4 linked regions of the Anolis sagrei genome follow. The protein of the gene in region 1 purifies or fractionates together with the protein of each later gene. This does not show direct contact. Links are inferred from orthologs where the notes say so. Each region holds a gene or a part of one and is shown in the gene's direction. Other genes may lie near its edges.

What was found.
Region 2: the proteins of COPS6 (region 1) and TOR1AIP2 purify together in Homo sapiens (affinity purification with mass spectrometry, with the first as the bait; 3 studies listed by BioGRID). This does not show direct contact. The link is inferred for Anolis sagrei from reciprocal best matches to the Homo sapiens genes COPS6 and TOR1AIP2.
Region 3: the proteins of COPS6 (region 1) and CUL4B purify together in Homo sapiens (affinity purification with mass spectrometry; 8 studies listed by BioGRID and IntAct, counting the BioPlex papers as one, with this or other methods). This does not show direct contact. The link is inferred for Anolis sagrei from reciprocal best matches to the Homo sapiens genes COPS6 and CUL4B.
Region 4: the proteins of COPS6 (region 1) and BTBD2 purify together in Homo sapiens (affinity purification with mass spectrometry; 4 studies listed by BioGRID and IntAct, counting the BioPlex papers as one, with this or other methods). This does not show direct contact. The link is inferred for Anolis sagrei from reciprocal best matches to the Homo sapiens genes COPS6 and BTBD2.

What each region holds. Positions count from the first base shown.
Region 1 is NC_090024.1:246,917,697-246,925,429, forward strand, and holds the start of COPS6 (COP9 signalosome complex subunit 6), read left to right. Parts: upstream 1-4,688; 5' UTR 4,689-4,708; coding exon 4,709-4,868; intron 4,869-4,970; coding exon 4,971-5,096; intron 5,097-7,343; coding exon 7,344-7,475; intron 7,476-7,733. UniProt on the Homo sapiens protein: Component of the COP9 signalosome complex (CSN), a complex involved in various cellular and developmental processes.
Region 2 is NC_090024.1:125,730,992-125,738,964, forward strand, and holds the start of TOR1AIP2 (torsin-1A-interacting protein 2), read left to right. Parts: upstream 1-4,788; 5' UTR 4,789-4,953; intron 4,954-7,973. UniProt on the Homo sapiens protein: Required for endoplasmic reticulum integrity. Regulates the distribution of TOR1A between the endoplasmic reticulum and the nuclear envelope as well as induces TOR1A, TOR1B and TOR3A ATPase activity.
Region 3 is NC_090030.1:3,459,968-3,467,591, reverse strand, and holds the start of CUL4B (cullin-4B), read left to right. Parts: upstream 1-4,493; 5' UTR 4,494-4,718; coding exon 4,719-5,283; intron 5,284-6,809; exon of another isoform or gene 6,810-6,909; intron 6,910-7,624.
Region 4 is NC_090034.1:52,727,760-52,735,532, forward strand, and holds the start of BTBD2 (BTB/POZ domain-containing protein 2), read left to right. Parts: upstream 1-4,651; 5' UTR 4,652-4,666; coding exon 4,667-5,175; intron 5,176-7,773.

The sequences.
Region 1 (7,733 bases):
AAGGAAGGAAGGAAGAAAGAAAGGAAAGGAAAGGAAGGAGGGAGGGAGGGAGAAAAGAAAGAAAGAAAGAAAGGAAAGGAAAGGAAAGGAAGGAAGGAAGGAAGGAAGGAAGGAAGGAGGGAGGGAGGGAGAAAAGAAAGAAAGAAAGAAAGGAAGAAAGGAAGAAAGGAAAGAAAGGAAAGGAAAGGAAAGGAAAGGAAAGGAAAGGAAGGAGGGAGGGAGGGAGGGAGAAAAGAAAGAAAGAAAGAAAGAAAAGAAAAGAAAAGAAAGGAAAGGAAAGGAAAGGAAAGGAAAGGAAAGGAAGGAGGGAGGGAGGGAGGGAGAAAAGAAAGAAAGAAGGAAAGAAAGAAAGAAAAGAAAAGAAAGGAAAGGAAAGGAAAGGAAAGGAAAGGAAAGGAAGGAGGGAGGGAGGGAGGGAGAAAAGAAAGAAAGAAAGAAAAGAAAGGAAAGGAAAGGAAAGGAAGGAAAGAGGGAGGGAGAAAAGAAAGAAAGAAAGAAAAGAAAGGAAAGGAAAGGAAAGGAAAGGAAGGAAGGAGGGAGGGAGGGAGGGAGGGAGAAAAGAAAGAAAGAAAAAAGAAAGGAAAGGAAAGGAAAGGAAGGAAGGAAGGAAGGAAGGAGGGAGGGAGGGAGAAAAGAAAGAAAGGAAGAAAGGAAGGAAGAAAGGAAAGAAAGGAAAGGAAAGGAAAGGAAGGAGGGAGGGAGGGAGGGAGAAAAGAAAGAAAGAAAGAAAGAAAAGAAAAGAAAAGAAAGGAAAGGAAAGGAAAGGAAAGGAAAGGAAAGGAAAGGAAGGAGGGAGGGAGGGAGGGAGAAAAGAAAGAAAGAAAGAAAAGAAAGGAAAGGAAAGGAAGGAAGGAAAGAGGGAGGGAGAAAAGAAAGAAAGAAAGAAAAGAAAGGAAAGGAAAGGAAAGGAAGGAAGGAGGGAGGGAGGGAGGGAGAAAAGAAAGAAAGAAAGAAAGAAAGAAAGAAAAGAAAAGAAAAGAAAAGAAAGGAAAGGAAAGCAAAGGAAAGGAAGGAGGGAGGGAGGGAGGGAGAAAAGAAAGAAAGAAAGGAAAGAAAGGAAAGGAAAGGAAAGGAAAGGAAAGGAAAGGAAAGGAAGGAAGGAAGGAAAGAAAGAAAGAAAGAAAGAAAGAAAGAGGGACGGAGGGAGGGAAAGGGAGAAGGAAGCATTGAAGCAAAGAGAGAAGGAAGGAAGGAAGGAGGTAGAGAAGGAAGAAAGGAGAGAAAGAGGGAGGGAAAGAAAGAGGGGGAAGGAAGGAAAGTTAGAGAAAGAAGGAAGGAGAGAAGGAAATAAAAAAGGGAAAGAAGGAAGGAAAGAGGGAGCGAAGGAAGGAGGGAAGATGTAGATAAAGAGGAAAGGAAGGAAAGAAGGAAAGAGAGAAGGAAGAAAAGAGAGACAAGAAGAGAAAGAAAAAGGGGAAAAGAAGAAAAGAGATAGAGAAGGAAAGACGGGAAGGAAGGAAGGAAGGAAAGAGGGAGTGAAGGAAGGAGGGAAAGAAGGAGAGAAAGAGGGAAGTTTGGCCACAGCAACGCGTGACGGGTACAGCTAGTAAATAATAAACAAACTTTTGGTAATGTACTTGGTGTTGCTTTAACAGAAACCTTCCAGTTTGTCTCATCTGAATGAGATGTTTTGCTGTTTGAGTTTATCGGTAAGGAAATGAGATTCTTTCCTTTTCCCGTAAGTATATTCTAAATCTAAAGGATGTCACTTCCCCATCGTTTACTTTCAATGCAAAATTATAATGTGACCCAACAGACACGTAGTTCCTGAATCTTGACCAATAAGGCTTGACCACAAAGTTGCCACAATGATCTACAAATAGTTGGTTGCTGAGCAAACAGGAAAAGCTTGCAATCTTTTTTTCCTCCTCCTCCTCCTTCCAAACCTTATAGAGATCACAGCCTTTTAGTCCTAAATCTTGCTAATCAGTCTCTAAACAACCTGGCTGCACAAAAGTCAACATTGACACTGAAGTACAACACCGCCTGAGCTCTGCGAGTGCAGCATTTTCCCAAATGAAGCAGAGAGTGTTTGAGGACCGGGACATCCGTAGGGAGAAACATGCCCAGCTCCTTAAGCCGCTCCTCATAGGGCTTGTTCTCCAGACCTAAACAGCTACCCTGTTTATAAAGCCACTGTCCTCCCAACCCTGATATGCACCTACGAAACGTGGACTGTAATAATAATAACAACAACAACAACACTTTATTTGTACCCCGCTACCATCTCCAAAGGACTCGCTCGCCTCTGGACACATTCCAGCTTGTCAATACCACAATTCAAGAGAGATATTGACAACCTGGAATGTGTCCAGAGGAGGGCGACTAAAATGATAAAAGGTCTGGAGAACAAGCCCTATGAGGAGCGGCTTAAGGAGCTGGGCATGTTTAGCCTGAAGAAGAGAAGGCTGAGAGGAGATATGATGAGGGCCATGTATAAATACGTGAGAGGAAGCCACAGGGAGGAGGAAGCAGATCAAGGGTCTGGAGAACAAGCCCTATGAGGAGTGGCTTAAGGAGCTGGGCATGTTTAGCCTGAAGAAGAGAAGGCTGAGAGGAGGTATGATGAGGGCCATGTATAAATACGTGAGAGGAAGCCACAGGGAGGAGGAAGCAGATCAAGGGTCTGGAGAACAAGCCCTATGAGGAGCGGCTTAAGGAGCTGGGCATGTTTAGCCTGAAGAAGAGAAGGCTGAGAGGAGATATGATGAGGGCCATGTATAAATACGTGAGAGGAAGCCACAGGGAGGAGGAAGCAGATCAAGGGTCTGGAGAACAAGCCCTATGAGGAGCGGCTTAAGGAGCTGGGCATGTTTAGCCTGAAGAAGAGAAGGCTGAGAGGAGATATGATGAGGGCCATGTATAAATACGTGAGAGGAAGCCACAGGGAGGAGGAAGCAGATCAAGGGTCTGGAGAACAAGCCCTATGAGGAGCGGCTTAAGGAGCTGGGCATGTTTAGCCTGAAGAAGAGAAGGCTGAGAGGAGATATGATGAGGGCCATGTATAAATACGTGAGAGGAAGCCACAGGGAGGAGGAGGGAGCAAGCTTCCTTTCTGCTTCCCTGGAGACTAGGACGCAATGGAGCAATGGCTTCAAACTACAAGAGAGGAGATTCCACCTGAACATGAGGAAGAACTTCCTGACTGTGAGAGCCGTTCAGCAGTGGAACTCTCTGCCCCGGAGTGTGGTGGAGGCTCCTTCTTTGGAAGCTTTGAAACAGAGGCTGGATGGCCATCTGTCAGGGGTGGTTTGAATGCAATATTCCTGCTTCTTGGCAGAATGGGGTTGGACTGGATGATGGCCCAGGAGGTCTCTTCCAACTCTTGGATTCTAGGATTCTGACTCTATGACTGTGAGAGCCATTCAGCAGTGGAACTCTTTGCCCCGGAGTGTGGTGGAGGCTCCTTCTTTGGAAGCTTTGAAACAGAGGCTGGAATGGCCATCTGTCAGGGGTGCTTTGAATGCAATCTTCCTGCTTCTTGGCAGAATGGGGTTGGACTGGATGATGGCCCAGGAGGTCTCTTCCAACTCTTGGATTCTAGGATTCTGACTCTATGACTGTGAGAGCCATTCAGCAGTGGAACTCTCTGCCCCAGAGTGTGGTGGAGGCTCCTTCTTTGGAAGCTTTGAAACAGAGGCTGGAATGGCCATCTGTCAGGGGTGCTTTGAATGCAATCTTCCTGCTTCTTGGCAGAATGGGGTTGGACTGGATGATGGCCCAGGAGGTCTCTTCCAACTCTTGGATTCTAGGATTCTGACTCTATGACTGTGCGAGCCGTTCAGCAGTGGAACTCTCTGCCCCGGAGTGTGGTGGAGGCTCCTTCTTTGGAAGCTTTGAAACAGAGGCTGGATGGCCATCTGTCAGGGGTGCTTTGAATGCAATATTCCTGCTTCTTGGCAGAAGGGGGTTGGACTGGATGATGGCCCAGGAGGTCTCTTCCAACTCTTGGATTCTAGGATTCTATGAAACATAAACAATAAACATATAACATTGTCAATAAGACAACATACAATTAAAACTGTGGGAGGGCCAAATGTAAAATTAAAATTGGAAATAGTGCTGAAACGTGGACGAAAAAGTGATAGTGGTGTTTGTGGAAAGACATACGAGCAGACCTAAAAATGTGAAGTGCTTTAGAGGGACAAAGTGATATGGGATCATTATTCCAGGCAGGCACACTGGAACAACCACGTCTTCAAGTTCCTCCTGGAGACTGCCAGGGTTGGGGCCTGCCTGATGTCTCCACCACACTCCGGGGCAGAGAGTTCCACTGCTGAACGGCCCTCCTATAATAATAATAATAATAATAATAATAATACTTTATTTATTCCCTGCCACCATCTCCCCAAGGAGACTCAGGGCGGCTTACATGAGGCCAAGCCCAACAACACATCAGTAAACAACAAGGCAGCAAGAAAATAAAACAGTACAATTAATATAACTCACATATAAACAATAACACAAGGACTAGTGGGCGGGGCTTCCCTCCCAGTGGGCGGGGCCACAGCTTTCTCTGCCTCCGCGGCTCCTCCTCCTGCCGCTAGAGGGTGCTGTATCTCTCCATCTAAACTATCCCAGCCGTAGATGTAGGGCCGTCAGGGGCGCATGCGCCGGCTCTGCCTCCGCCACTCCTCCTCCTGCCACTAGAGGGCGCTGTCTCTCTATTAAACTATCCTCTTCGTAGCTCTAGGGGGGCCAGGGGCGCATGCGCAGTCCCTCGGCGCTGCTGGGCTACGGGTGCCGCGTCGGGACATCCCCCACAGCCAAGATGGCGGCGTCGGGCTCCAGCGGCGGCTCCTGCCCGCCGGGGCCCGGGAGCAGCAACGGAGGGGGCGGCGCGGGCGGCATGGAGGTGGACGCGGCCGGTGAGCAGGGAAGGGAGCGAGGGGGAGAGGGGAGAATGGGAAGGGTAGGCCTGGCTGGGGCCTGACGGGGCTTCTCTTCCTCCTCGTCCTCCTCCTTGGCAGCGGGCCCGGCGGTGATGGCCTCGGGCGTGACGGGGAGCGTGTCGGTGGCGCTGCACCCGCTCGTCATCCTCAACATCAGCGACCACTGGATCCGGATGCGCTCCCAGGAGGGACGCCCCGCACAAGGTGAGAGGCCCACAAGGAGAAAACAGCCGGGGGAGGGGTCTGGGGAGGGGGCCACGAGAGAAGAAGAGTTAAGGAGAAGGCCTGTCTCCTCCTCACTCTATTATTATTATTATTACTATTTGAAACACAACAAGAGCTGTTCAGCAGTGGAACTCTCTGCTGAAACAGAGGCTGTATGGCTATCTGTCGAGATGGGGAGGTCTCTTCCCACTCTTGAGTTCTATAAGGAAGGAAAGAAGGAAGGAAGGAAGAGGGGAAGCTCCTCAAGCGGGAGCTGTTCAGCAGGGGAACTCTCTGCTGAAACAGAGGCTGGATGGCTATCTGTCGGGAGGGGGAGGTCTCTTCCCACTCTTGAGTTCTATAAGGAAGGAGAGAAGGAAGGAAGGAAGGAAGGAGGGGGGGGAGCTCCTCAAGCAGGAGCTGTTCAGCAGTGGAACTCTCTGCTGAAACAGAGGCTGGATGGCTATCTGTCAGGAGGGGGAGGTCTCTTCCCACTCTTGAGTTCTATAAGGAAGGAGAGAAGGAAGGAAGGAAGGAAGGGGGGGAGCTCCTCAAGCGAGAGCTGTTCAGCAGTGGAACTCTCTGCTGAAACAGAGGCTGGATGGCTATCTGTCGGGAGGGGGAGGTCTCTTCCCACTCTTGAGTTCTATAAGGAAGGAAAGAAGGAAGGAAGGAAGTGGGGAAGTTCCTCAAGCAGGAGCCGTTCAGCAGTGGAACTCTCTGCTGAAACAGGCTGTATGGCTATCTGTCGGGAGGGGGAGGTCTCTTCCCACTCTTGAGTTCTATAAGGAACGAGAGAAGGAATGAAGGAAGGGGGGAGCTCCTCAAGCGAGAGCTGTTCAGCAGTGGAACTCTCTGCTGAAACAGAGGCTGGATGGCTATCTGTCGGGAGGGGGAGGTCTCTTCCCACTCTTGAGTTCTATAAGGAAGGAAGGAAGGAAGTGGGGAAGCTCCTCAAGCGGGAGCTGTTCAGCAGTGGAACTCTCTGCTGAAACAGAGGCTGGATGGCTATCTGTCGGGAGGGGGGGTCTCTTCCCACTCTTGAGTTCTATAAGGAAGGAAAGAAGGAAGGAAGTGGGGGGGGGGAGCTCCTCAAGCGAGAGCTGTTCAGCAGTGGAACTCTCTGCCCCAGAGTGTGATGGAGGCTCCTCCCCCCAAGGCCCATTTCCGCAAGGCGCCCCAGAAGGATACCGTGGTCGACGGTATCGAAGGCCGCTGAGAGGTCCAGGAGCACCAACAGGGACACACTCCCCCTGTCTAGCTCCCGGCGCAGATAATCCACTAAGGCGACCAAGACCGTCTCAGTTCCATGTCCCGGTCTGAAACCAGACTGTGCCGAATCCAGATAATCCGTGTCTACCAAGAATACCTTGGTAGAGTTGTGAGGCCACTACGCTTTCCATGACTTTGCCCAAAAAGGGGAGATTGGAAACTGGCCGAAAGTTGTCAAATCTAGTGGGATTCAGTGATGGTTTTTTCAACAGCGGTTTTATGATAGCTTGTTTTAAGCTCGCTGGAATCTTGCCTTCCCGAAGGGAGGCGTTAACCACCACTGTTACCCACTCAGCCAATCCCCCTCTGGCCTCCTTCAGAAGCCAGGATGGGCAGGGGTCTAGGATGGACGTGGTGGGCCTCATTCCTCCAAGTATCTTGTCCACATCCTCGGGCTTCACCAATTGAAATGAATCCATCAAAATAGGACAAGCAGGTGCTCGGGTCACATCCTCGGAGACTGCATTTAATATGGTGTCCAGACCGGAACGGATCAAGGCGACTTTGTCTGCAAAGAACCGAGCAAATGCTTCACAGCGCGTGGCCGAATTGTCAGGGCTCCCGCCTGAGGTGGCGGGAGTTAAAAGACCTCTGACAATCCGGAACAACTCCGCCGGACGGTTTCTTGCAGACGCAATAGTAGCCGCAAAGAAAGTTGTATTATTGATCTGTGGGACGCTACTTGCTTTTTAAACTTTTCATCTTTTACTTTTTAATAAACTACAAAGACTTCAGTCTGTGTGCACTTCTGGTGATTTCAGCAAGGGGAATCTATTCTGAGGTGCGACAGGAGGGGCCAAGGAGAGGGGGATACAAGGGGGGGGAGAGACAATGGGGGGGCTATGACTGTCTGGGGGGAGCTACAAGAGAGGGGGAGGAGCCAAGGTTGGAGGGAGGGGCCAAAGGGGAGGGGGGGTCAATAAAGGTCTCTCTCTCCATCTCCCTCCGGCCTTCTCCCTTGTTCTCTCTCCACAGTGATCGGGGCGCTGATTGGGCGCCAGGAGGGGCGCAACATCGAGGTGATGAACTCCTTTGAGCTGCTCTCACACTCGGTCGAGGAGAACGCCGTCATCGACAAGGAGTACTACTACACCAAGGAGGAACAGTGTGAGCCCCAGCAAAGGAGGGAGGGAGGGGACATATGGGGCTAAGGAGAGAGGGAGAGGCACAGGAGAAGGGTCTCCGAAGGCAATCCAGTCTGACCCTATTCTGCTAGGCAGGAAAAGCACTATCAAAGACACCCCCCCCCCCACACACACACACCCAAAAGGCCCCTCCTGACACATGGCCATCCAGCCCCAGTTTCTAAAGCCTCCAAGGAAGGCGCTTCCACCAGACTCTGTGGCAGAGAGTTCCACTGTTGAA
Region 2 (7,973 bases), about 120 Mb from region 1:
ACAGCAGTGTAGACTCAGGTAATCCAGTTCAAATCAGATAACATGGATTATCTGCATTGACAATCTGGCTATATGGCAATATAGAAGTGGTCTGAGGCCCCATCTATGCTGCCATATAAAATCCAGAATATCTGCTTTAAATTGGATTATATGGCAATGTAGACTAATATAAATCCATTCAAAACAGATAATATGGATTTTATATAGCAGTGTAGATGGGGCCCTAGACCCGTTTCCAGAGAACTGTGGACCCCTCTACGCTGCCTTATAATCCGGATTATCCATGCAGATAACCCACATTATCTGCTTTCAACCAAAATCGGGATGGTAGACATTTGTTTTCATGTTGGCTGCCAAAAGATCAATTTTCTATCGGCCCATTTTGGGGGGAGGGGGAGTGCTTCCCAGGCTCCCATTCCCGTCATTTTAGACATTTAAGTTCTTTTACTCTAGAGGAGATGCACTCAGCTGCAGACAGGTGTGTTCTGCGCACGCTTTAAGGAGGCTTATTATCTATTCGAGAGGAGGTGCTTGGCTGCAAGCAGGCACAGGTGATTTCGGCAACCATACACACGCACACACTCTTTCCTAGGCAAGTTCTCATTCTTACTCTAGAGGAGGCACTTGGGTGCAGGCAGGGGTGTGGACTTTCTGGGTGTGCATGCCACACATACATGCACCCTGTTTCCAAAGCAAGGAGACAACAGGTAACTTCTCATTCTTACTCTAGAGGAGGTGCTTGGCTGCAAGCTGGCCTGCATGCCACACACACATGCACTCTCTTTCCAAGGCAAGAAGGCATGGAGCGCCACATACTCACGAAAAGCAGGCAAGGAGCCGGGATTGGCTCCTGCTTGCTTTTGTGCCGAGCTGATTTTCCTGCCAGGAGTGGGCTTCCCATTACATGCTCCCGAAGGTAACGAAGTAACAAAAGAATGGATGAAACAAAGGAAAACGGTTCCGCACACAACTCTAATTAAAGAGATATGTGGCTCTCTTACATTTGGTCAGTGAGAAAACTGGTTAGCCTACTCTTTGTCTTGTGTATGGTTCTGCGAGCTGCAACCATGAAACTTGTCAATTAGACAAATCCATCGAGAATGTAATAGATTAGACATTTTTGCAAAAGAGTACTCAGGCTATCGATAGCTGTTAGTTATGATGGTAAAACATTGCCTCTAGAGTCAGAGGTAGCGTGCTTCTTAATGCTAGTTAGTGGAGGAATGACAACTAATGGAGGCCATTGTTTTGTGTTGTGAGCTTCCCTGGAGTATCCAGTAACCTCCTGTGGAAAACTTGATATTGACCTAGATTGTTCTGATTCATCAAGATTCCCCTTGTGTTACCATTGTGGCACTATATTTTATTCATGACAGCAACACTATTTGTCATCATCACATGAATGGGCAGCACTTTCTCTTTAGCTCTGAGAGTGGTCATGCACATTCCATGATATCCAAACAGTTCTGTAAACAGATGTCAAGAGGCCTGCATTTAAAAATAATTATGAGCTTATGCTCTAATTTAAGTGGTTTTAAATTTAAAATAGCATGGTTCAGCAGCTAGGATGAGTACTGTAAATGTACTTTGGGACATTACTACAATTAGTCATAGCTTAACTGAGTAGCCTTCAGCATGTTTTTCATGCAGTAGACCATGATGGCTTTGAAAGACAGCAGATCACAAGAGCTGTCTTCATAGACCTGTCAGCGTCTTATGATACTGTAAACCACCGCCTCCTCCTGACAAAAATGTATAATATCACAAAGGATTACCACTTCACCCACCTCATAGGAAATCTGCTACAAAACAGGAGCTTTTTTGTTGAATTCCAGGGCTAGAGAAGCAGATGGCGGAAACAGAAGGACGGCCTGCCTCAGGGGAGCGTGCTTGCTCCATCCATGTTCAATATCTACACAAATGACCAGCCACTACCAGAAGGGACAGAAAGTTTCATCTATGCTGATGATCGTGCCATTACCGCTCAAGCAGGGAGCTTTGAGATGGTTGAACAGAAGCTATCCGAAGCTCTAAGTCAGTGGTTCTCAACCTGGGGTCCCCAGATGTTTTTGGCCTACAACTCCCAGAAATCCCAGCCAGTTTACCAGCTGTTAGGATTTCTGGGAGTTGAAGGCTAAAAACATCTAGGGACCCCAGGTTGAGAACCACTGCTCTAGGTGCTCTTACTGCCTATTACAGGGAAAACCAGCTGATCCCTAACCCATCTAAAACACAGACATGTGCTTTTCATCTTAAGAACAGACAAGCATCCTGATCTCTGAGGACTACCCTTCAGGAGAGAATGCTTCTGGAACATGGCCAGACAGCCCGGAAAACTTACAGCAACCCACTGAAGCTTTTGACAATACAACAACAACAATAATCTATATAAATAAAAATGTAATGTTCATTTGTGGAATTAACAGAACTCAAAAACCACTGGACGAATTGACACCAAATTTGGATACAAGACACCTAACAACCCAATGTATGTCCTTCACTCAAAAAATTGATTTTGTCATTTGGGAGTTGTAGTTGCTGGGATTTGTAGTTCACCTACAATCACAGAGCATTCTGAATCCCACCAACAACAGAATTGGGCCAAACCTCCCACACAGAACCCCCATGACCATCAGAGTGGGCCACAGCAACGCGTGGCAGGGGACGGCTAGTCTATATAAATAAAAATGTAATGTTCATTTGTGGGATTAACAGAACTCAAAAACCACTGGACAAATTGACACCAAATTTGGACACAGGACACCTAACAACCCAATGTACGTCCTTCACTCAAAAACATTGATTTTGTCATTTGGGAGTTGTCATTGCTGGGATTTATAGTTCACCTACAATCAAAGAGCATTCTGAACCCCACTAATGATGGAATTGAACCAAACTTGGCACACAGTTCTCCCATGACCAACGGAAATGCGGAAAACCGCATTGAGTCGCCTAATTAGGTTGAGAAACACGGTATAGAAATAAAGCAAATAATAAATAAATAAATAAACGGAACACACTGGAAGGGTTTGGTGGGCATTGACCTTGAGTTTGGGAGTTGTAGTTAACCTACATCCAGAGAGCACTGTGGACTCAAACAATGATGGATCTGGACAAAACTTGGCATGAATACTCAATATGCCCAAATGGGAACACTGGTGGAGTTTGGGGGAAATAGAATCTTGACATTTGGGAGTGGTAGTTGCTGGGATTTATAGTTCACCTGCAATCAAAGAGCATTCTGAACCCCACCAACGATGGAATTGAAGCAAACTTGGTACGCAGTTCTCCCATGACCAACAGAAAATACTGGAAGGGTTTGGTGGACAGTGTCCTTTGGTTTTGGAGTTGTAGTTCACCTACATCCAGAGATCACTGTGGACTCAAACAATGATGGATCTGGACCAAACTTGACACAAAAATTCCATATGCCTAAATATGAACACAGATGGAGTTTGGAGGAAACAGACCTTGACATTTGGGATTTGTATTTACTGGGATTTATAGTTCACTACAATTAAAGAGCATTCTGAAACCCACAAATGACAGAATTGAGGCAAACTTCCCACACACAACCCCCATGACCAACAGAAAATACTTAAGGCCATCCAGTCCAACTTCCTTCACCAGGGCAAGAAAATGTAATCAGAGCCCATGCAGTCATAAATATTAGGGCTGGGTAACCACGGAAAAATTTGTTTCTAAACTCAATTAGTTTTTAGGGGGTTTTTGCGTTTTGTTTTTTAAAAGAATTCCGATTTTTTTCTTTAAAAAAGTTCGAAATATACGAAATTTCGTAAATTACGAAATAATTACGAAACAATTTCGAATCGATTCGTTAATGGCGGACGCGATTGCGCAATATGCTAAAAAAATCCCCAAATGGGACAGGGGGAACTTCTGAAGCTTCCCTCTCCCTCTGTTGTTGACTGTTGGTGTGATAATTTATTTTTTATCACTGATAAAACAAACAACAACCCTAAAACTTGCACCAGACATACGGAAACAATTACGAAACAATTTCGAAAAAATTACGAAATAAATTGAAAAATTTGTTTCGATTTTTAATTGCTCCTGCATGGCTCAATATTGGATCGTAAGCTAATTTAAATACGAATTAATAACGAATTACGGAATTAATGAACGAAACCGCCCAGCCCTAATAAATATAGATAGATAGATATGATTCTCTCTCTCACACACACAGATATAGTATCATAGATTTGAAAGAGACCCTTAAAGAAGGACTATGATATGTTGCATGTTCCAGAGTAGGCAAATGAGACACTCTCCACATCAACACTGACAAAGAAACAATAAGAAATACTGTTTACTCACAAGCAGAAAGGAATTACATATATTAGAAACCAACACTTTCTCATTACTTTATTTTCCAGATCACCAGACTGGGCCACAGCAACGCGTGGCAGGGGACGGCTAGTAACAATAATAATAATGCAGATTCAAACTGCATGTTCTGGGGTGTAGATGGGGCCCTTACACAGCAGGGCGATTATACTTTTTTAAAAGTGTGAAAAGCCAAAGCTCCCCCTCCCAGAGTCTGAAATAAATGCCCTTCCCACGGGATTTCGTCACGGGTGTTGTTTTGTTGAAGGCGAGCCTTCGCCCTTTGCTCTCCTCCCCTCGGGCTTCAAGAGATCAGGCAGGAAGGCGCCTCGTGGAGGAACCTTCGCCCGGGAGGAGAAGGGCGGGGAGCGAGGGAGGGAGGGGACTACAGGTCCCAGAGTTCCCTGGTGACGTCACCGGGAGGGCGGGGCTGGCGGGCGGGCTGCGGGTTGGCGGCTCTGCCTGTCCGGCGGCGCTCCTTCCTCCTGGGAAGTTGGGATGGGACGCTCTTGGCGGAGGGAGGGCGCCCCAAGTCACTTCCTGCTGAGGAGAGAAAGTGCCTCTTTCGCTTTTCCTTTCTGGCCGAAGAAGGGAAGAGGAAGGCAGGTAAGGCGAGGAGCAGGATCCCCAGATCTGGCCCCATGCCCTCCCACTGGCTGGCTCTTGTGATCACCCTGCTCCCCTCCAACAAAGAGGGAGAGAATAATCAGAGAATAATAGAGTTGGAAGAGACCACCCAGTCCAACCCCCTGCCATACAATCAAACGTCCTGACAGATGTTTCAAAGCCTCCAAAGAAGGAGCCTCCACACACACTCCGAGGCAGAGAGTTCCACTGCTGAACAGCTCTCCCAGTTGGGAAATTTGTTGAGATTAACTTCACAATTCAGCAGCAGATCAGTTGCACAACTTCAGCGTTTTGCATCTTCCTGCACAGTATTTTCAGTCAACTGCTCCCACAAACTGCAGTCACTCTGGAACCTTTTACAAACACTTGAGCACATGCCCGGCCATTGTCAGTTTTACCATTGTCTTTCCCCCAGTCTAGATGACATTACAAACTTACCACAGCATATAGTTATATCTTGTCTTAGCAGACAAGTTCTTTTAATTACATATAGCCTTCGACAAACAACATCACAGCACAAGGAGAAATATACACTGTACATGACTTCCTTATATACAATTCTATACAATTACACATAGCAATCTCTGATTGGTTCCCAACTCATTAACTTAACTCAGACCCAGGATTACATCATTCACAATCACCTGGACTAGGCCAGAACACATTCCCCAAATGAAGTTCTAAATACAGTTAATGCATGACACAGCATTTCTAATAGGAGCCCATTAGCAGTGCATGACTCAGCTATATTACATTACAATACATGTTCAGGTGGAAATTCCTTTCCTCTAGTTTGGACCCATTGCATCCTAGTCTCCAGGGCAGCGGGAAGTAAGCCTGTTCCTTCTTCCTTATGACATTTAAAAAAGAATCATTTAATGTACATGTGGCCCGCTCTCTGTCATTACGTTTGGTTTCTCTGTTTTGTGTATATTGTTTATGCTTTGATGTTTTATACTTTATTGTTATGTTGTTTATTTTATTGCAATTTGTAATTTTGTATTGTAATTTGTTGTTCGGGCTTGGCCCCATGTAAACCGCTCCGAGTCCCTGTTGAGGGAGATGGTGGCGGGGTATAAATAAAGTTTATTATTATTATTATAGAATCCTAGAGTTGGAAGAGACCTCATGGGCCATCCAGTCCAACCCCCTGCCAAGAAGCAGGAGTATTGCATTCAAAGCACCCCTGACAGATGGCCATCCAGCCTCTGTTTAAAAGCTTCCAAAGAAGGAGCCTCCACCACACTCCGTGGCAGAGAATTCCACTGCTGAACAGCTCTCACAGTTAGGAAGTTCTTCCTCATGTTCGGGTGGAATCTCCTTTCCTCTAGTTTGGACCCATTGCTCCATTGCATCGTAGTCTCCAGGGCAGAAGAAAACAAGCCTGCTCCCTCTTCCTTATGACATAGAATCATAGAGTTGGAAGAGACTTCAATGCAGGAATATTGCATTCAGAGCACCTCCCACAGATGGCCATCCAGCCTCTGTTTAAAACAGTCTTTCTTAACCTGGGGGTCGAGACCCCTGTGGGGGTTGCGAGGGGGTGTCAGAGGGGTCGGCAAAGACCGTCAGAAAATACAGTATTTTCTGTTGGTCATGGGGGTTCTGTGTGGGAAGTTTGGTCCAATTCTATCGTTGGTGGGCTTCAGAATGTTATTTCATTGTGGGCAAACTATAAATCTCAGCAATTACAACTCCCAAATGTCAAGGTCTATTTTCCGCAAAGTTCTCCAGTGTTCACATTTGGGCATACTGAGTATTCATGCCAAGTTTGGTCTAGATCCATCATTGTTTGAGTCCACAGTGCTCTCTGGATGGAGGTGAACTACAACTCCAAAAACTCAAGGTCAGTGTCCACCAGACCCTCCCAGTATTTTCTCTTGGTCATGGGAGTTCTGTGTGCCAAGTTTGGTTCAATTCCATCATTGGTGGAGTTCGGAATGCTCTTTGATTGTAGATGAACTATAAATCCCAGCAACTACAACTCCCAAATGACAAAATCAACCCCACCCCAACCCCACCCATATTCAAATTTGGGCATATCGGGTATTTGGGATTTGAAAATACATCCTGCATATCAGATATTTACATTACGATTCATAACAGTAGCAAAATTACAGTTATGAAGTAGCAATGAAAATAATGTTATGGTTGGGAGTCACCACAACATGAGGAACTGTACTAAGGTGTCACGGCATTAGGAAGGTTGAGAACCACTGGTTTAAAAGCTTCCAAAGAAGGAGACTCCACACACATTCCGAGGCAGAGAGTTCCACTGCTGAACAGCTCTCACCGTTAAGAAGTTCTTCCTCATGTTCAGGTGGAAAACCCTTTCCTCTAGTTTGGGCCCATTGCATCCTGGTCTCCAGGGCAGCAGGAAGCAAGCCTGTTCCTTCTTCCTTATGACAAGTAATCATTTTATGTACATGCGGCCCGCTCTCTGTCATTATGTTTGGTTTCTCTGTTTTGTGTATATTGTTTATATGCTTTGATGTTTTATACTTTACTAGCCGTCCCCTGCCATGCGTTGCTGTGGCCCACATGGGGTTCCTGAGTGGGAGGTTTGGCCCAATCCTATCGTTGGTGGGGTTCAGAATGCTCTGTGATTGTAGGTGAACTATAAATCCCAGCAACTACAACTCCCAAATGTCAAGATTCTGTTTTCCCCAAACTCCACCAGTGTTCACATCTGGGCATATGGAGTATTCGTGGAGAGTTCGGTCCAGATCCATCATTGTTTGAGTGCACAGTGATCTGTGAATGTAGGTGAACTACAACTCCAAAACCAAAACTGCCCACCAAACCCTTCCAGTATTTTCTGTTGGTCATGGGAGAACTGTGTGCCAAGTTTGCTTCAATTCCATCGTTGGTGGGGTTCAGAATGCTCTTTGATTGTAGGAGAACTATAAATCCCAGCAACTACAACTCCCAAATAACAAAATCAATTTTTTTTGAGTGAAGGACGTACATTGGGTTGTTAGGTATCTTGTGTCCAAAGT
Region 3 (7,624 bases), on another chromosome or scaffold:
ATAATTTATTATTTATGAATAATAAATTAATCAATAATGGTTTTCATATACAGTAAAAGGTTTATTATTTGTAATTAATAACAAGTAAATAATAAATATGTTTATTTCATTTCACAAATGACTAATATTGTTATTTATGAATAACAATTTGTTTTCATAAACAATCCTTTGTTTATTAATAGATTAATAATAAATATGTTTATTTCTTTTCACACATTACTAATATATTATTATTTATAAATAAATACATCATTTTCATAAATAATTGTTTAGTTGTAAAAATAGTAATATTAAATTATTTATTAATAAATCGTTTAAAATTTAACACACAATTAACCATTAAATGAGATAACAATTAAAATGTATTTAATAATTAATAAATAATAATGGTGCAGCAGGTTAAATGTCTAAGCTGCTGAACTTGCTGACCGGAAAGTCGGCACTTCGAATCCGGGAACAGGTTGAGCTCCCGTTGTTAGGCCCAGCTCCTGCCATCCTAGCAGCTTGAAAACATGCCAATGTTGACTTAAATTTTATGTGTTCAATTTTAAATATTTTATTAATTTATTTATTACTATTATTTTTGAATAATCTGCAAATAACTTATTATTTACTAGCTGTCCCCTGCCAGGCGTTGCTGTGGCCCAGTCTGTTGATCTGGAAAATAAAGTAATGAGAAAGTGTTGGTTTCTAAAATATGAAATATCTTGATGCTTGTGGGTAAACTGTTTTTCTTTTTCTGTTTCTTTGCGTTGATGTGGAGAGTGTCTGGTTTGCCAACTCTGGAACATTCAACATATCATTGTCCTTCTTTAGGGGTCCCTTTCAAATCTATGATATTATCTCTCTGTGTGTGTGAATCATATATATCTTTATCTATGGCTGGATGGCTTTTTATCAGGAGGGCTTTAATTGCGTTTTCATGCCCTGGGGAAGGGAGTTGGACTGGATGGCCTTAAGTATTGGTGTTGGTCATGGGGGTTCTGTGTGAGACGTTTGCCCCGATTCTGTCGTTCGTGGGGTTCAGAACACTCTTTGATTGTAGGTGAACTGTGAATCCCAGTGACTACAACTCCCAAATGTCAAGGTCTATTTCCTCCAAACTCCATCTGTGTTCATATTTGGGCGTATTGAGTGCTTGTGCCAAGTTTGGTCCAAATCCATCCTTTTTTGAGTCCACAGTGCTCTCTGGATGTAGGCAAACTACAACTCCAAAACTAAAGGACACTGCCCACCAAACCTTTCCAGTATTTTCTGTTGGTCATGGGAGAACTGTGTGCCAAGTTTGGTTCCATTCCATCGTTGATGGGGTTCAGAATGCTCTTTGATTGTAGGTGAACTATAAATCCCAGCAACTACAACTCCCAAATGACAAAATCATTTTTTTGAGTGAAGGACATACATTGAGTTGTTAGGTGTCTTGTGTCCAAATTTGGTGTCAATTCGTCCAGTGGTTTTTGAGTTCTGTTAATCGCACAAATGAACATTACATTTTGATTTATATAGATTAATGAAAATAAATAACTTATCATTTATTAATGTATTTAATAATGCATCACAATAAAAGAGGTGAAATAAAATTAAATCAAATTATCATTCTTTCTCTTCAAGCTCGTCTTTGATCCACTGAATCCACGTCTATATTATTATTATTATTATACCCAGCTTTTATTTCGTATAAACATGCCCTGCCTTTCCAGCCCACAGCAATGGAAACCTGCCTTCAGTTCAGATTCATGCGAGGGACTGATGTGATTGGACTCACTTTCAACGACATACAAATAATGCATTGTAGACTATCGTTGTCATGCTACTTTCTACTCTAGTTGTATACTATGAAAGGAGTTGGGCTCAGTCCTTGTCAAAAATGGCAGGCTGGATGTACACTACCATACGGATTTCTGGATCAGGTTGACTGTCCGAATCAATCTGGCTTTAGACTGGGACGTGGAACAGAAAAAGCTTTGGTCACTTTGGTGTATGATCTACACGGAGAACTTGATCAGGGGAGTCTGACCCTATTAACCGTCCTGGACCTCTCAGTGGCCTTCAATACCATCAATCATGGTATCCTTCTGGGAAGGCTTGAGGGAATGGGGTTAGAAGGCAATGTGCTATGGTGGTTCTAATCCTTCTTCTCAGGCCGTTCCCAGAAGGTGGTCCTGGGGGAGTCCTGCTCGACCTCATGGCTGGTGGGTTGTGGTCTTCCACAGGACTCATTGCTATCCCCAATGTTATTCAACGTCTACCTCAGTGGTTCCCAAACTGTAGCCTGTGGACCACCAGTGGTCTGCAAGAATGAAAATATGGTCCACGGCCTTACTGTTACTACACTGTTGTCTCAAAACCACATGACTGGTCTCATGAAACTCTCTTAGGCAACGGGTATGTCGGGAGGGAGAGGCTGACTACCCACGAAAGATTACTACTACCACATCATCTCTAGATTATCAAATATGGTTTTCTGTGGATGAGCAGATGGTGACTACTGGGTAGAATATGTTCTGCATTAGAAACTAGAGCTGAGGTGGTTTGTCCAATTTTCTGAATAAGCACCCCAAATAACCAAACCGAATCTAAAGTTGACCAAAAACTGATCTGTAATCCTTTTGGTACTATTGTTGGTCAGGGGTCCAAAAGGTTGGGAACAACCGATCTACATGAAGCCACTGGGATACATCATCTGGAGTTTTGGGGTTCAGAAGGAAGGAAAGAATGAATGAATGAAGGAAGGAAGGAAGGAAGGAAGGAAGGAAGGAGAAAGGGAAACAGGCAGGGAAGGAGTGAGGGAGGGAAGGAAGGAAGAAAGGAAAGAAGGGAGAAAAGAAAGGAGGGGGTAAGCAGGGTGGGGGAGGTAAGCAGGGTGGGTGGGAGGGAAGGAAGGAGGTTGGCAAGCAGGGTGGGAGGGAAGAAAGAAGGGAAGGAAGGAAAAAGAGGGAGGGAAGCAGGGAAGGAAGGAGGTAAGCAGGGTGGGAGGGAAGGAAGGGAAAAAAGGAAGGGGGGAGGGAAGCAGGTTGGGGCGGAGGAAGGAGAGAAGGAAGGAAGAAGAGAGATAAGCAGGGTGGGAGGGAGGAAAGGAGAGAAGGAAGGAAAAAAGGAGGGAGGTAAGCAGGGTAGGAGGGAGAGAAGGAAGGAGGTAAGCAGAGTGGGAGGGAAGGAAAGAGGGCAGGAAGGAAGGGAGGGAGGGAGGGAGGGAGGGAGGGAGGGGGGAAGCAGGGTGGGCGGGAAGGAAGGAAGGGGGAAGGAGGGAGGAAGAAAGAACAGAAGGAAGGAGAGGGAAACAGGCAGGGAGGGAAAGAGGGAGGGAAGGAGGGAGGGAAGGAGGGTGGGAGGGAAGGGAGGAGGGCAGGAAGGAAAGAGATAAGCAGGGTGGGGAGGAAAGGAAGGAAAAGAAAGGAGGTAAGCAGGGTAGGAGGAAGAGAAGGAAGGAGGTAAGCAGGGTGGGAGGGAAGGGAGGAGGGCGGGAAGGAGGGTGGGAAGGAAGGAAGGAAGGAAACAGGATGGGCGGGAAGGAAGGAAGGGGGAAGCAGGGAGGGAGGAAGGAAGGAAAGAAAGAAGGAAAGGCAGGAGGTAGGGAGAAAGGGGGGGGGTGGAAGGAAGAAAGGAAAGAAGGAGGAAGGAAGGAAGAAGGAAAGAAGGAAAAGAAGGGAGGAAGAAAGGAAGGAGTCAAAGCATCCCTGTGAATGGAAGGACAAAGGAAGGGAGGAAGAAAGGAAGAAAGAAGGATGGAAGGAAAGAGTCAAAGCATCCCTGTGAAAGGAAGGAAGGAAAGAAGGAAAGGAAAGAAGGGAAGGAAGGAAAGAAGGGAGGAAGAAAGGAAGAAGGAAGGACGGAAGGAAAGAGTCAAAGCATCCCTGTGAAAGAAAGGAAGGAAAGGAAAGAGGGAAAGAAAGAAGGGAGGAAGAAAGGAAGAAAGAAGGACGGAAGGAAAGAGTCAAAGCATCCCTGTGAAAGGAAAGAAGGGAAAGAAAAGAAGGGAAGGAAGGGAAGAAGGGAGGAAGAAGGGAAGAAGGAAAGAAGGGAGGAAGAAAGAAGGACGAAAGGAAAGAGTCAAGGCATCCCTGTGAAAGGAAGGAAGGAAGGAAGGAAGGAAGGAAGGAAGGAGGAAGGAAAGGAGGGAGGGAGGGAGGGAAGGAGGGAGGGAGGGGGGAGGGAAGGAAGGAAAGAAGGGAGGAAGGAAGGAAGGAAGAAGGGAAGAAGGAAAGAGGGAAAGAAGGGAAGGAAAGAAGGGAGGAAGAAAGGAAGGAAGAAGGGAAGAAGGAAAGAGGGAAAGAAGGGAAGGAAACTAGGGAAAAAGAAAGAAGGACGAATGGAAAGAGTAGAAGCATCCCTGTGTTGGCCTTGCAAAAAGGAAGGGAGGAAGGAAGGAAGGGAGCCAGAGCCATCCCCGTGGAGGAGGCCTGGAGGCGCCGTCACGTGACCCCGCCTGGGCGCAGGAGAGCCACTTCCGCCTCCTTGCTCGCCTCCTCAACTTCCGGCGGGGTCGGCTTCCCGGCGTGCCGCGCGGGCGGAAGCGCCGCCATTTTTGGGGCTGCCCTGCCTGAGCGGGCTGTGGTGCTGACCATAACAAGGCTCTGGGCTGGCCTCCTGCTTGGGGAGGCGGACAGGCCTCGCAGGGGAGACGGAGACACGGGGAGAAGGAAGGCAGGAAGGGAGGAAGGAAGAGCGGGTGCCCGACCGTCCTTCTGGCCCGCCTGCGGCTCATCTCGGGGGTGTTCATGTTTCCCACAGGTTTCTCTTCCGCTCAGGAGGTCAGGCCTGCCACTGATGGTAGCAGCAGCAGTAGCTCCTCTTCCTCGTCGTCTTCCTCCTCCTCTTCCTCCAAGAAGAGAAAGCTAAACAACAGCGAGAAGGACGAGACGGAGCCCCTCTCTTCCTCCTCTTCTTCCTCCTGCTCTTCTCTCCTCCCCAGGAACCATTCCTCCTCCTCTTCTTCCTCAGCCATTGCTACCACCTCCTGCTCTTCCTCCTCCTCCTCGTCTTCCTCCAACCACCACTTGCAGAAGAAGCTCCGCTTTGAGGACTCCTTGGATTTTATTGGACTCGATGTCAAGATGGCCGAGGAGTCTTCCTCCACTTCGTCGCCGGCTTCGTCTTCCTCGTCTGCTTCCCAACAGCAGCAGCAGCAACAACAACAGCTCAAAAGCAAAAGCCTCCTCCTTTCTTCCGTGGCCGCGGGACACCACGCGAACGGCCTGACCAAAGCCGCCTCGTCCAGCGTCTCCAGCTTTGCCAATAGTAAACCGGGCTCGGCCAAGAAGTTAGTCATCAAGAATTTTAAAGGTAACGCTTCTGGAAAACGACATTCAGGGGGGAAAAACACCTTTTGGAAATCGTAACTTTCACCTTTCAGAGAAGAGCCAAACACACTCTTCTCAACCCTCAGATGTCTTGGCCTTCAACTACCAGAAATCCTAGCAGCTAGTAAACTGGCTGGGAATTCTGGGAGTTGTAGACCAAAACACCTGGGAACCCACAGGCTGAGAACCACTGCTCTAGAACAGGGGTCCTCAAACGAAGGCCCGGGGACTGGGCACCACGCGAACGGCCTGACCAAAGCCGCCTCGTCCAGCGTCTCCAGCTTTGCCAATAGTAAACCAGTCTCGGCCAAGAAGTTAGTCATCAAGAATTTTAAAGGTAACGCTTCTGGAAAACGGCATTCAGAAAGGAAAAGAAAAACACATTTTGGAAATCGTAACTTTTGAGGAAAGTGTCACCTTTCAGAGAAGAGCCAAACACGCTTTAGAGAAGTGTTTCTCAAATATTTGTTTCTAAGCCAGTGGTTCTCAACCTTGCTAATGCCGTGACCCCTTAATGCCGTTCCCTATGTTTTATTTATTTATTTATTATTTAAACTTATATGCCGCCACTCTTCTGGGGCTCGGAGCGGCTAAATCTAACAAAGTTTAAAAGCTATTTAAAACAATTTAAAAACAACAGTATCAAACATTAAAAGCCTGTCGAAACAGGTATGTCTTACACGCCCTGCGGAAAGCTGGTAAGTCCTGCAGGGCATGAACTTCAGGTGGCAGAGCATTCCAGACTGATGGTGCCACTGCTGTGAAGGCTCTGCGTCTGGTTGCCGTTAGATGCAAGGTCTTGACACTGGGGACTTCCAATAGATCTTGGTCCTCAGAACGGAGGGATCTCTGGGGTTGGTGGTGTGGTGACCCCCAACCATATTGTTTTCGTTGCTACTTGATACCTGTCATTTTAGTACTGTTATAAATCGTAATGTAAATATCCGATATGCAGGATATATTTTCACTGGACTAAATTGGGCACAAATACCCAATATGCCCAAATGTGAATGCTAATGGGGTTGGGGGGGGGATTGATTTTGTAATTTGGGAGTTGTAGTTGCTGGGATTTATAGTTCACCTATAATCAAAGAGCATTCTGAACTCCACCGGCAATTGATTTGAACCTAATTTGCCACACAGGTTGAGAAACACTGGTGTATGTAATACAATGAAAATCTAATTTTTTTGAAAAATTATGACCGTACAGAAAGTCATTATTTTCCAGGATACAGCATATAGAGATTGAAAAAGAATAGTGATCAACATAGCTATAATACAAAAAAAAACAAAAACATTATTGAGATTTTTATACTGTTACCTTCTAGATCAGTGGTTCTCAACCTGTGGGTCCCCAGATGTTTTGGCCTTCAACTCCCAGAAATCCTAACAGTTAGTAAACTCACTGGGAATTCTGGGAGTTGTAGGACAAAACACCTGGGGAGCCATAGGTTGAGAACCACTGCTCTAGAACAGGGGTCCTCAAACTAAGGCCCGGAGACTGGGCACCACGCGAACGGCCTGACCAAAGCCGCCTCGTCCAGCGTCTCCAGCTTTGCCAATAGTAAACCGGGCTCGGCCAAGAAGTTAGTCATCAAGAATTTTAAAGGTAATAATAATAATAATAATAATAATAATAATACACTTTATTTATAACCCCCTACCATCTCCCCAAAGGGGACTCGGTGCGGCTAACATGAGGCCAAGCCCAAAAGAATGCAACATAATAAACACACAGTAACAAAATACATCATGACAATATATAAAATAACAAAATCAACAATATAGAACAGCATATTAAAACTAGACACAGAGGGCGGGCCAAATATGTGAGGTAAAATGTTTAAAAAGTTAAAACCCTGGGTGAGATAGGGATGAAAGTGCATTTGTAGGAAAGGAGCCCAACAGGGAGGAACCATGGGATTTAGACATTTGGTGGGGCGGGGGGGATGCTTGGTTCTGAGGGTATCTGTAGACTAAGACAACCAGATGGGTTGAATGGTCATTCTCCAAAAGCACAATGGAAGAGCCAGGCTTTTAGGTCTTTCTTAAAACCAGCTAGGGTGGGGGCTTGCCTGATCTCTTTAGGCAACGAATTCCAAAAGCGGGGGGGGCCCAGCAGAAAACATAACACTTCTGGGAAAAGGCATTCAGGAAAAAATAACACCTTTTGGAGGTCGTAACTTTTGAGAAAAGCATCACCTTTCAGAGACGAGCCAAACACGCTTTAGAGAAGTGTTTCTCAACCCTCAGAGGTTTTGGCCTTCAACTCCCAGAAATCCTAACAGCTGGTAATCTAGCAGGGATTTCTGGGAGTTGTAGGC
Region 4 (7,773 bases), on another chromosome or scaffold:
TAAATAAAGGCTGGATGGCCATCTGTTGGGGGTACTTTGAATGTGATTTTCCTGCTTGGCATGGGGTTGGACTAGATGGCCCACAATGTCTCTTACAACTGTATGATTCTATAGGTATGTATGGATGCAGTGTTCATATGCAACCACAAGAGGACAGTATAAAGATAGAAAGGATTCGCTACTGGTCTATAGCTGTATGAATGCAGTGCTCAGATGCTGCCACAAGAGGGCATTATACAAATAGAAAGGATTCGCTACTGGTCTATAGATATGTATGGATGTAGTGCTCAAGTGCAACCACAAGAAGGCAGAATAAAGATAGAAAGGATTAGCTATTAATCTATAGCTATATATGGATGCAGTGCTCAGACACAGCCACAAGAGAACAGAATAGAGATATAAAGGATTAGCTACTGGTCTCTAGGTATGAACACGGGGGTCTTTTATGGGTAGAAAAAAGTGGGCTTTAAAATATAATCTACCTGTGGGGTGTTTAAAAAAAAGGGGGGGGGGTCTTATGGGTTAAAAAGTCAGGCTTTCAAATGGAGGCTGATGAAGGCTTTTAAATATTTAAAAGTGGGTTCTAAACAGGGGCACTTTTACATTGGGCTTTAAAATGGGGCTGTTTTGCGGGTTGAAAAAAGGTGGGCCTTTAAATGGAGGTTTGGATGGCTTTTATACATTGAAAGTGGGTTCAAAAATTGAGGCTTTTATGGTTTTGAAAGGGGGGATCTTTAAAATGGTAGTTTAGCTGAAGAGTTGTTTTTTTTTAAAAAAAAATGAGATTCAATATGGAGGCCTTCTTTGAGGGGAGGTGTAGCGAAATGTTTGTTATAGGTTAAAGTTTTAATATATATGTCAGTGTTGTAATAGGGCCTACATTGAAGAGTTGATGCAAGAACAGCCATTATGTTATTCTTAGAGGGCAGTAACAGAAGGAGAAGAGTTAATTTGCATAAAGGGTTCCGATTGGTCCTATGCAAACGAGTAGGTGCAGAAGCTGGAACAGGAATTTAAAAGTTGACAGTTGGGAAATTACTGCTCAAGCAGGGAACTTTGAGACAGTAGAACAGAAGCTCTCCGAAGCTCTAGGTGCTCTTACTGCCTATTACAGGGAAAACCAGCTGATCCCCAACCCATCTAAAACACAGACATGTGCCTTTCATCTCAAGAACAGACAAGCATCCCGAGCTCTGAAGATCACCTGGGAAGGAATCCCACTGGAGCATTGCAGCGCACCCAAATACCTGGGAGTCACTCTGGATCGTGCTCTGACCTACAAGAAGCACTTTTTAAATATCAAGCAAAAAGTGGGTGCCAGAAACAATATCATACGAAAGCTGACTGGCACAACCTGGGGATCACAACCAGATACAGTGAAGACATCTGCCCTTGCGCTATGCTACTCTGCTGCTGAGTATGCATGCCCAGTGTGGAACACATCTCACCACACTAAAACAGTGGATGTGGCTCTGAATGAGACATGCTGCATTATCACGGGGTGTCTGCGCCCTACACCACTGGAGAAATTACACTGCTTAGCCAATATTGCACCACCTGACATCCGCCGGGAAGTAGCAGCCAATAGTGAAAGGACCAAGGCTGAGACATCTCCAGCTCATCCCGTTTGGGTATCGGCCAGCACGTCAACGACTTAAATCTAGACATAGTCTTCTAAGATCTACAGAGAGACTCGCTGGAACACCTCAGCAAGCGAGAGTCCAAAAGTGGCAGGCTCAAACTCAGCACCTCAACCAATGGCTGATACCAAATAAGACTCCCTCCTGGGCACACAGAAGACTGGGCAACTTGGAAGGCACTGAACAGACTGCACTCTGGCACCACGAGATGCAGAGCCAACCTTCAGAAATGGGGCTACAAAGTGGAATCCTCGACATGCGAGTGTGGAGAAGAGCAAACCACTGACCACCTGCTGCAATGCAACCTGAGCCCTGCCACATGCACAACGGAGGACCTTCTTGCAGCAACACCGGAGCACTCCAAGTGGCCAGATACTGGTCAAAGGACATTTAACCAACTACCAAACTCACAAGTTTTCTATTTGTCTGTTTGTTTGCTTTGTTCTGTTAGAAATGTAATATAATGCACTGGTTGCTCTGACACGAAAAATACATAAATAAATAAAAATAAGTTGGCAAATGGCAGTTGAGGCTTGAGTCAGTTTGAGTGCAGAAGCCAGAGTAGGAAGCTAGCAAAATGTTGATGTTTGAGTACCTTTGAAGTAGACTGTTATGAAAAGAAAACTGTAATGAAACCAAGTTATGTGCAACTAAGAAACAGTGATATAAATGTAACCAATAAGCATTTGTACAAGAAGCTATAAATAAACAATGTTACTGTGAAGTTTGTCTGAAACCTGTAATGCAAAGCACTGCACAAGTTTTCTTAAAGAGTCACAGAAGAGCCACAGCTAATTACAAAAAGAGAATCTATGTAGGTTCCTGGAAAGAGTGGGGACAGTAAAGGGATTTAAAAGGAAAGGATTTTCTCCTCCTTAGTCGGAAAATAGATGCTTTTGAGCTGTGGTGCTGGAGGAAAGTGCTGAGAGTGCCTTGGACTGTGAGAAGATCCAACCAGTCCATCCTCCAGGAAATAAAGCCCGGCTGCTCATTGGAGGGAAGGATACTAGAGACAAAGTTGAAGTCCTTTGGCCACATCATGAGGAGACAGCAAAGCCTAGAGAAGACAATTATGCTGGGGAAAGTGGAAGGCAAAAGGAAGAGGGGCCGACCAAGGGCAAGATGGATGGATGGCATCCTTGAAGTGACTGGGCTGACCTTGAAGTAGCTGGGGGTGGTGATGGCCGACAGGGAGCTCTGGCGTGGGCTGGTCCATGAGGTGACGAAGAGTCAGAGACGACTGAACGAATGAACAACAACAAAAGGCTTTGATGCCCTCCTTGGGTAGGTCTCTATTTAAAACCTTCCTATCAGCTAGGCCTTGAAGCCTTCCTAAGGTAGGCCTCCATTGTAAACCTTCCCCTAAGACAGGCCTTGGAAGCCTCCTCAGGTAGGCCACAATTTAAAGTCTCCTCGTGTAGGCCTCTATTCTAAAACTTATTATTAACTTTATTTGTACCCTGCTAGCATCTCCCGAAGGACTCGATGCAGCTTATGAAGGCCAAGGCCTCAATACACAGCATAACAATACAAAACCTAAAGCAAATTAAAAACAATTAAAACAATATTAAACAACAAAACAACAAGCAATAAACAATACACCAAAACACAATAAAACTGGGCCGGGCCAGAGTAATGGGTACAGAATTAAAAGTGCTGATGTGACAGGTGGTATATAAGGATTATTTTTTTTGTGTGTCAGGAGCAACCGCTCCTGTTGTGAGAGAATTGGCTGTCTGCAAGGACGTTGCCCAGGGGACGCCTGGATGATTTTTTTTTATATAAGGCTTATAGGGAAAGTGCAGTGTGCAGTGTGTGGCAATCTTAGTTCTAATAAAGTGCTTCTGGGACTTGGTATTGGAAATTTCCTATTCTGGGAAGGCACATCGGAACAGCCAGGTCTTCAAGTTCTTTCTAAAGATTGCCAATGTAGGAGCCTGTCTAAGATCTTTGGGGAGGGTGTTCCAGAGTCGGGGGGCCACCACAGAAAAGGCCCTGTCTCGTGACCCCCACCAAACGTGCTTGCGACTCAGGCGGGATCACGAGCAGGGCCTCTCCAGATGAATGTAGTGAACGTGTGGGTTTGTAAACGGAGATGCAGTCACGCAGGTAGGATGGTCCCAAACCGTTCAGGGCTTTGTAGATAAGCACATGCACATTTAATTGGGCTCGGAAAATAAACGGCAGCCAGTGGAGGTCCTTGAACAGGAGGGTTGACCTCTCTTTATAAGGGGTACCAGTTAACATCCTGGCCGCTGCCCGTTGGACCAGTTGAAATTTCCGGGCCGTTTTCAAGGGCAGCCCCACTTAGAGCGCATTGTTGTTCATTCATTCAGTCGTCTCCGACTCTTCGTGACCTCATGGACCAGCCCACGTCAGAGCTCCCTGTCGGCCGTCACCACTCCCAGCTCCATCAAGGTCAGTCCAGTCACTTCAAGGATGGCATCCATCCATCTTGCCCTTGGTCGGCCCCTCTTCCTTTTGCCTTCCACTTTCCCCAATCTAGAGGTGACCAAGGCATGGACCACCCCGGCCAGATCAGCCTTCGCGAAGTACGGTCGCAGTTGGCGCACAAGTCTTAATTGTGCGAAAGCCCTCCCGGCCACTGCCGACACCTGAGCTTTCAAACGTAAGTGATGAATCCAGGAGGACAACTTTCCCCTCAGATAGGCCTTGATGCCCTCCTTGGGTAGGTCTCTATTTAAAACCTTCCTATCAGGTAGGCCTCGAAGCCTTCCTAAGGTAGGCCTCCAATGTAAACCTTCCCCTCAGACAGGCCTTGGAAGCCTCCTCAGGTAGGTCACAATTCAAAGTCTCCTCAGGTAGGCCTCCATTCTAAACCTTCCCCTCAGCCAGGCCTTGAAGCCTTCCTCAAGTAGGCCTCCATCGAGAACCTTCCCTTCAGCTAGGTATGGAAGCCTTCCTCGCATAGGCCTCATTCGGCAGGCGGCCATTGCGCCTCCTTTCCCTCAGGCGGCGCCTTCCCTCCTCTCTCCCTCCATTTTCCTCCCTCCCTTCCTTCTTCCATGGGCCGCAGCGGAAGCCCGTGCTGTTTCCTCCTCCTCCCCTTCTCGGTCCCTTGGGCTCCTCCTCCTCCTCGGCGCCGAAAAATGGCGGCCGGAGCCGGGCCCCTGGAGGAAGGAGTCGGCGGCGAAGGGGGCCTGCCTTTCTCCTCCTCGGCGCCGCCTCCTCCGCCTCTCCCGCCCTGCTCCAACCTGGGCGGAGCGCCCCCTCACGCGAGGCCCGAGGCTCCGGGGCCTGGTGCTGCGCAGAACCGGGGCGGAGGCAACCCGCGCATCCAGGGGGTCGCCTCCTCCTCCTCGCCTCCTCCTCCCGCGGCCTCGGCGCCGTCGTCTTCCTCGTCGCCACCTTCCCCGCCGCCTTCCTCGCCTCCGCCCTCGGCCTACAACTGGCAGGCCACCAAGCCCACGGTCCTGGAGCGCATGGCCTTCCTCTTCAACAACGAGGTGCTCAGCGACGTCCACTTCGTAGTCGGGAAAGGACGGAGGGGCGCCCAACGCCTCCCTGCACACAGGCAAGGAAAGAAGAAGGGAGGGAGGAAGATAGGAAGGGGGAAAGAAGGAAGAAGGAAGAGGGAAGGAAAGAAGAAAGAAGGAAGGAAGATGTGTGGAAAAAAGGAAGGGAGGAAGAAGAAGGAAAGGATGAAGGAAGGAAGGAAGGAAGGAAGGAAGGAAGGGGCAGGGAGGGAAGGAAATATAGACATATATACATGTATTTGTTTATGTTGTCATGTCTGCATGTGTGCTCTGAATGAATTTGTGTGTTTTTATACATATAGACATACACACACATATCTATCTATAGATATATACACAAGTACACACATATTACACAGAGGTACACACTCACATATACTGTATACATATATAAACACACACAGATACATACACTTATGCACACACACATATACATGCATAGGTTATTGTAGGTTTTTTCAGGCTATATGATCATGTTCTAGAGGCATTCTCTCCTGATGTTTCGCCTGCATCTATGGCAGGCATCCTCAGAGGTTGTGAGGTCTGTTGGAACTAGAAAAATTGGGTTTATATTTCTGTGGAATGACCAGGGCGGGACAAAGGACTCTTGTTTGCTGGAGCCAGGTGTGAATGTTTCAACTGACCACCTTGATCAGCATTTGATGGCCTGGCAGTTTTTTTTGGTGTGGTTTGTTAGTGCCTGGGGGAATCTTTGGTTGAGAGGTGATTAGCTGTTCCTTATTGGGCCGTTTTAGGTTTTTTCGGGCTATATGGCCATGTTCTAAAGGCATTCTCTCCTGATGTTTCGCCTGCATCTATGGCAAGCATCCTCAGAGGTAGTGAGGTCTGTTGGATCTAGGAAAAAGGTTTTATATATCTGTGGAATGACCAGGGTGGGACAAAGGACTCTTGTCTGCTGGAGCCAGGTGTGAATGTTTCAACTGACCACCTTGATTAACATTTGATGGCTTGGCAGTGCCTGGGGCAATCTTTTGTTGAGAGGTGATTAGATGTCCCAGATTGTTTCCTCTCTGATGTTTTGCTGTTGTGATTTTAGAGTTTTTTAATACTGGTAGCCAGATTTTGTTCCATTTTCATGGCTTCCTCCTTTCTGTTGGAATTTTCCACATGCTTGTGGATTTCAATGGCTTCTCTGTGTAGTCTGACATGGCGGTTGTTAGAGTGGTCCAGCATTTCTGTGTTCTCAAATAATATGCTGTGTCCAGGTTGGTTCATCAGGTGCTCTGCTATGGCTAACTTCTCTGGTTGAAGTAGTCTGCAGTGTCTTTCATGTTCCTTGATTCGTGTTTGGGCAATGCTGCGTTTGGTAGTCCCTATGTAGACTTGTCCACAGGGAACCACTGACCGCATAGGGAAAGTGATGAGGAAACACAATATACAAACTATCTACAGACCCACCAAGAAAATCCAACAAATGCTACGTTCAGCAAAGGACAAGAGGGATCCTCTCCCTTCTGCAGGAGTCTACTGTATACCATGCAGCTGTGGACAAGTCTACATAGGGACCACCAAACGCAGCATCGCCCAAGCACAAATCAAGGAACATGAAAGGCACTGCAGACTACCGCCAGGCCATCAAATGCTAATCAAGGTGGTCAGTTGAAACATTCACACCTAGCTCTAGCAGACAAGAGTTCTTTGTCCCACCCTGATCATTCCACAGATATATAAACCCAATTTTCCTAGTTCCAACAGACCTCACTACCTCTGAGGATGCTTGCCATAGATGCAGGCGAAACATCAGGAGAGAATGCCTCTAGAACATAGCCATATAGCCCGGAAAAACCTACAGCAACCCAGTGATTCTAGCCATGAAAGCCTTTGAAAATACATATACATACATAAATGCACACTTATATATGTGTATTTATACACACATATATTACACATATGCAGATACACATACATAAAAAGCACATATATAAATATGTATAAATACACATATCGTACATACATAAATACAGACGCACACACACATATATATACATGCAGTTCCCAAGTTACAAAGAAGATCAGTTCTGCAGGTTTGTTCTTAAGTTGAATTTGTGTGTAAGTCAGAACAGGGACTTTTTATGTGTAACTTTAGCTAAAACAAACATTTTGTTAGCTTTGGATAGCATAAACCCCTAAGAGGTTTCCTTTGCTGTCTGTGTTCAGAATATTTCGTCGCACTTTATGCCCCTGTGGTAATGGGATTTTGACAAAGGCAGCTTGTTGTGGAAACAAGGATTGATGATAAAGCTTCAGTGGAGGCCTCTTTTCCCCATGATAATAACACTTTCAGGACTTTCTCTTCCTATCGAGGGGCAGATTTCTCCTGTTGTCTCAGTCTCTGCCTTTGTAACTTGGAATCGGATGTAAGTCAGGTGCCTGTAACTCAGAGACTGCCTGTATATATAATCACACACACACACACACATTACATACTTGTGTGTGTGCGTGTCTATGCATGTATATGTGTTTGCATGTGCCACATGGACCTGTACTTTGTGTGTGTTATTTATTTGTGGGTGTGTTATGTGTTTATGTATATTATCTGTACTGTGTATGTGTTTACATATACTCACGCACATGTTATATCATTGTGTGTGTGTCTATGCAGAAAGGTGTGCAAT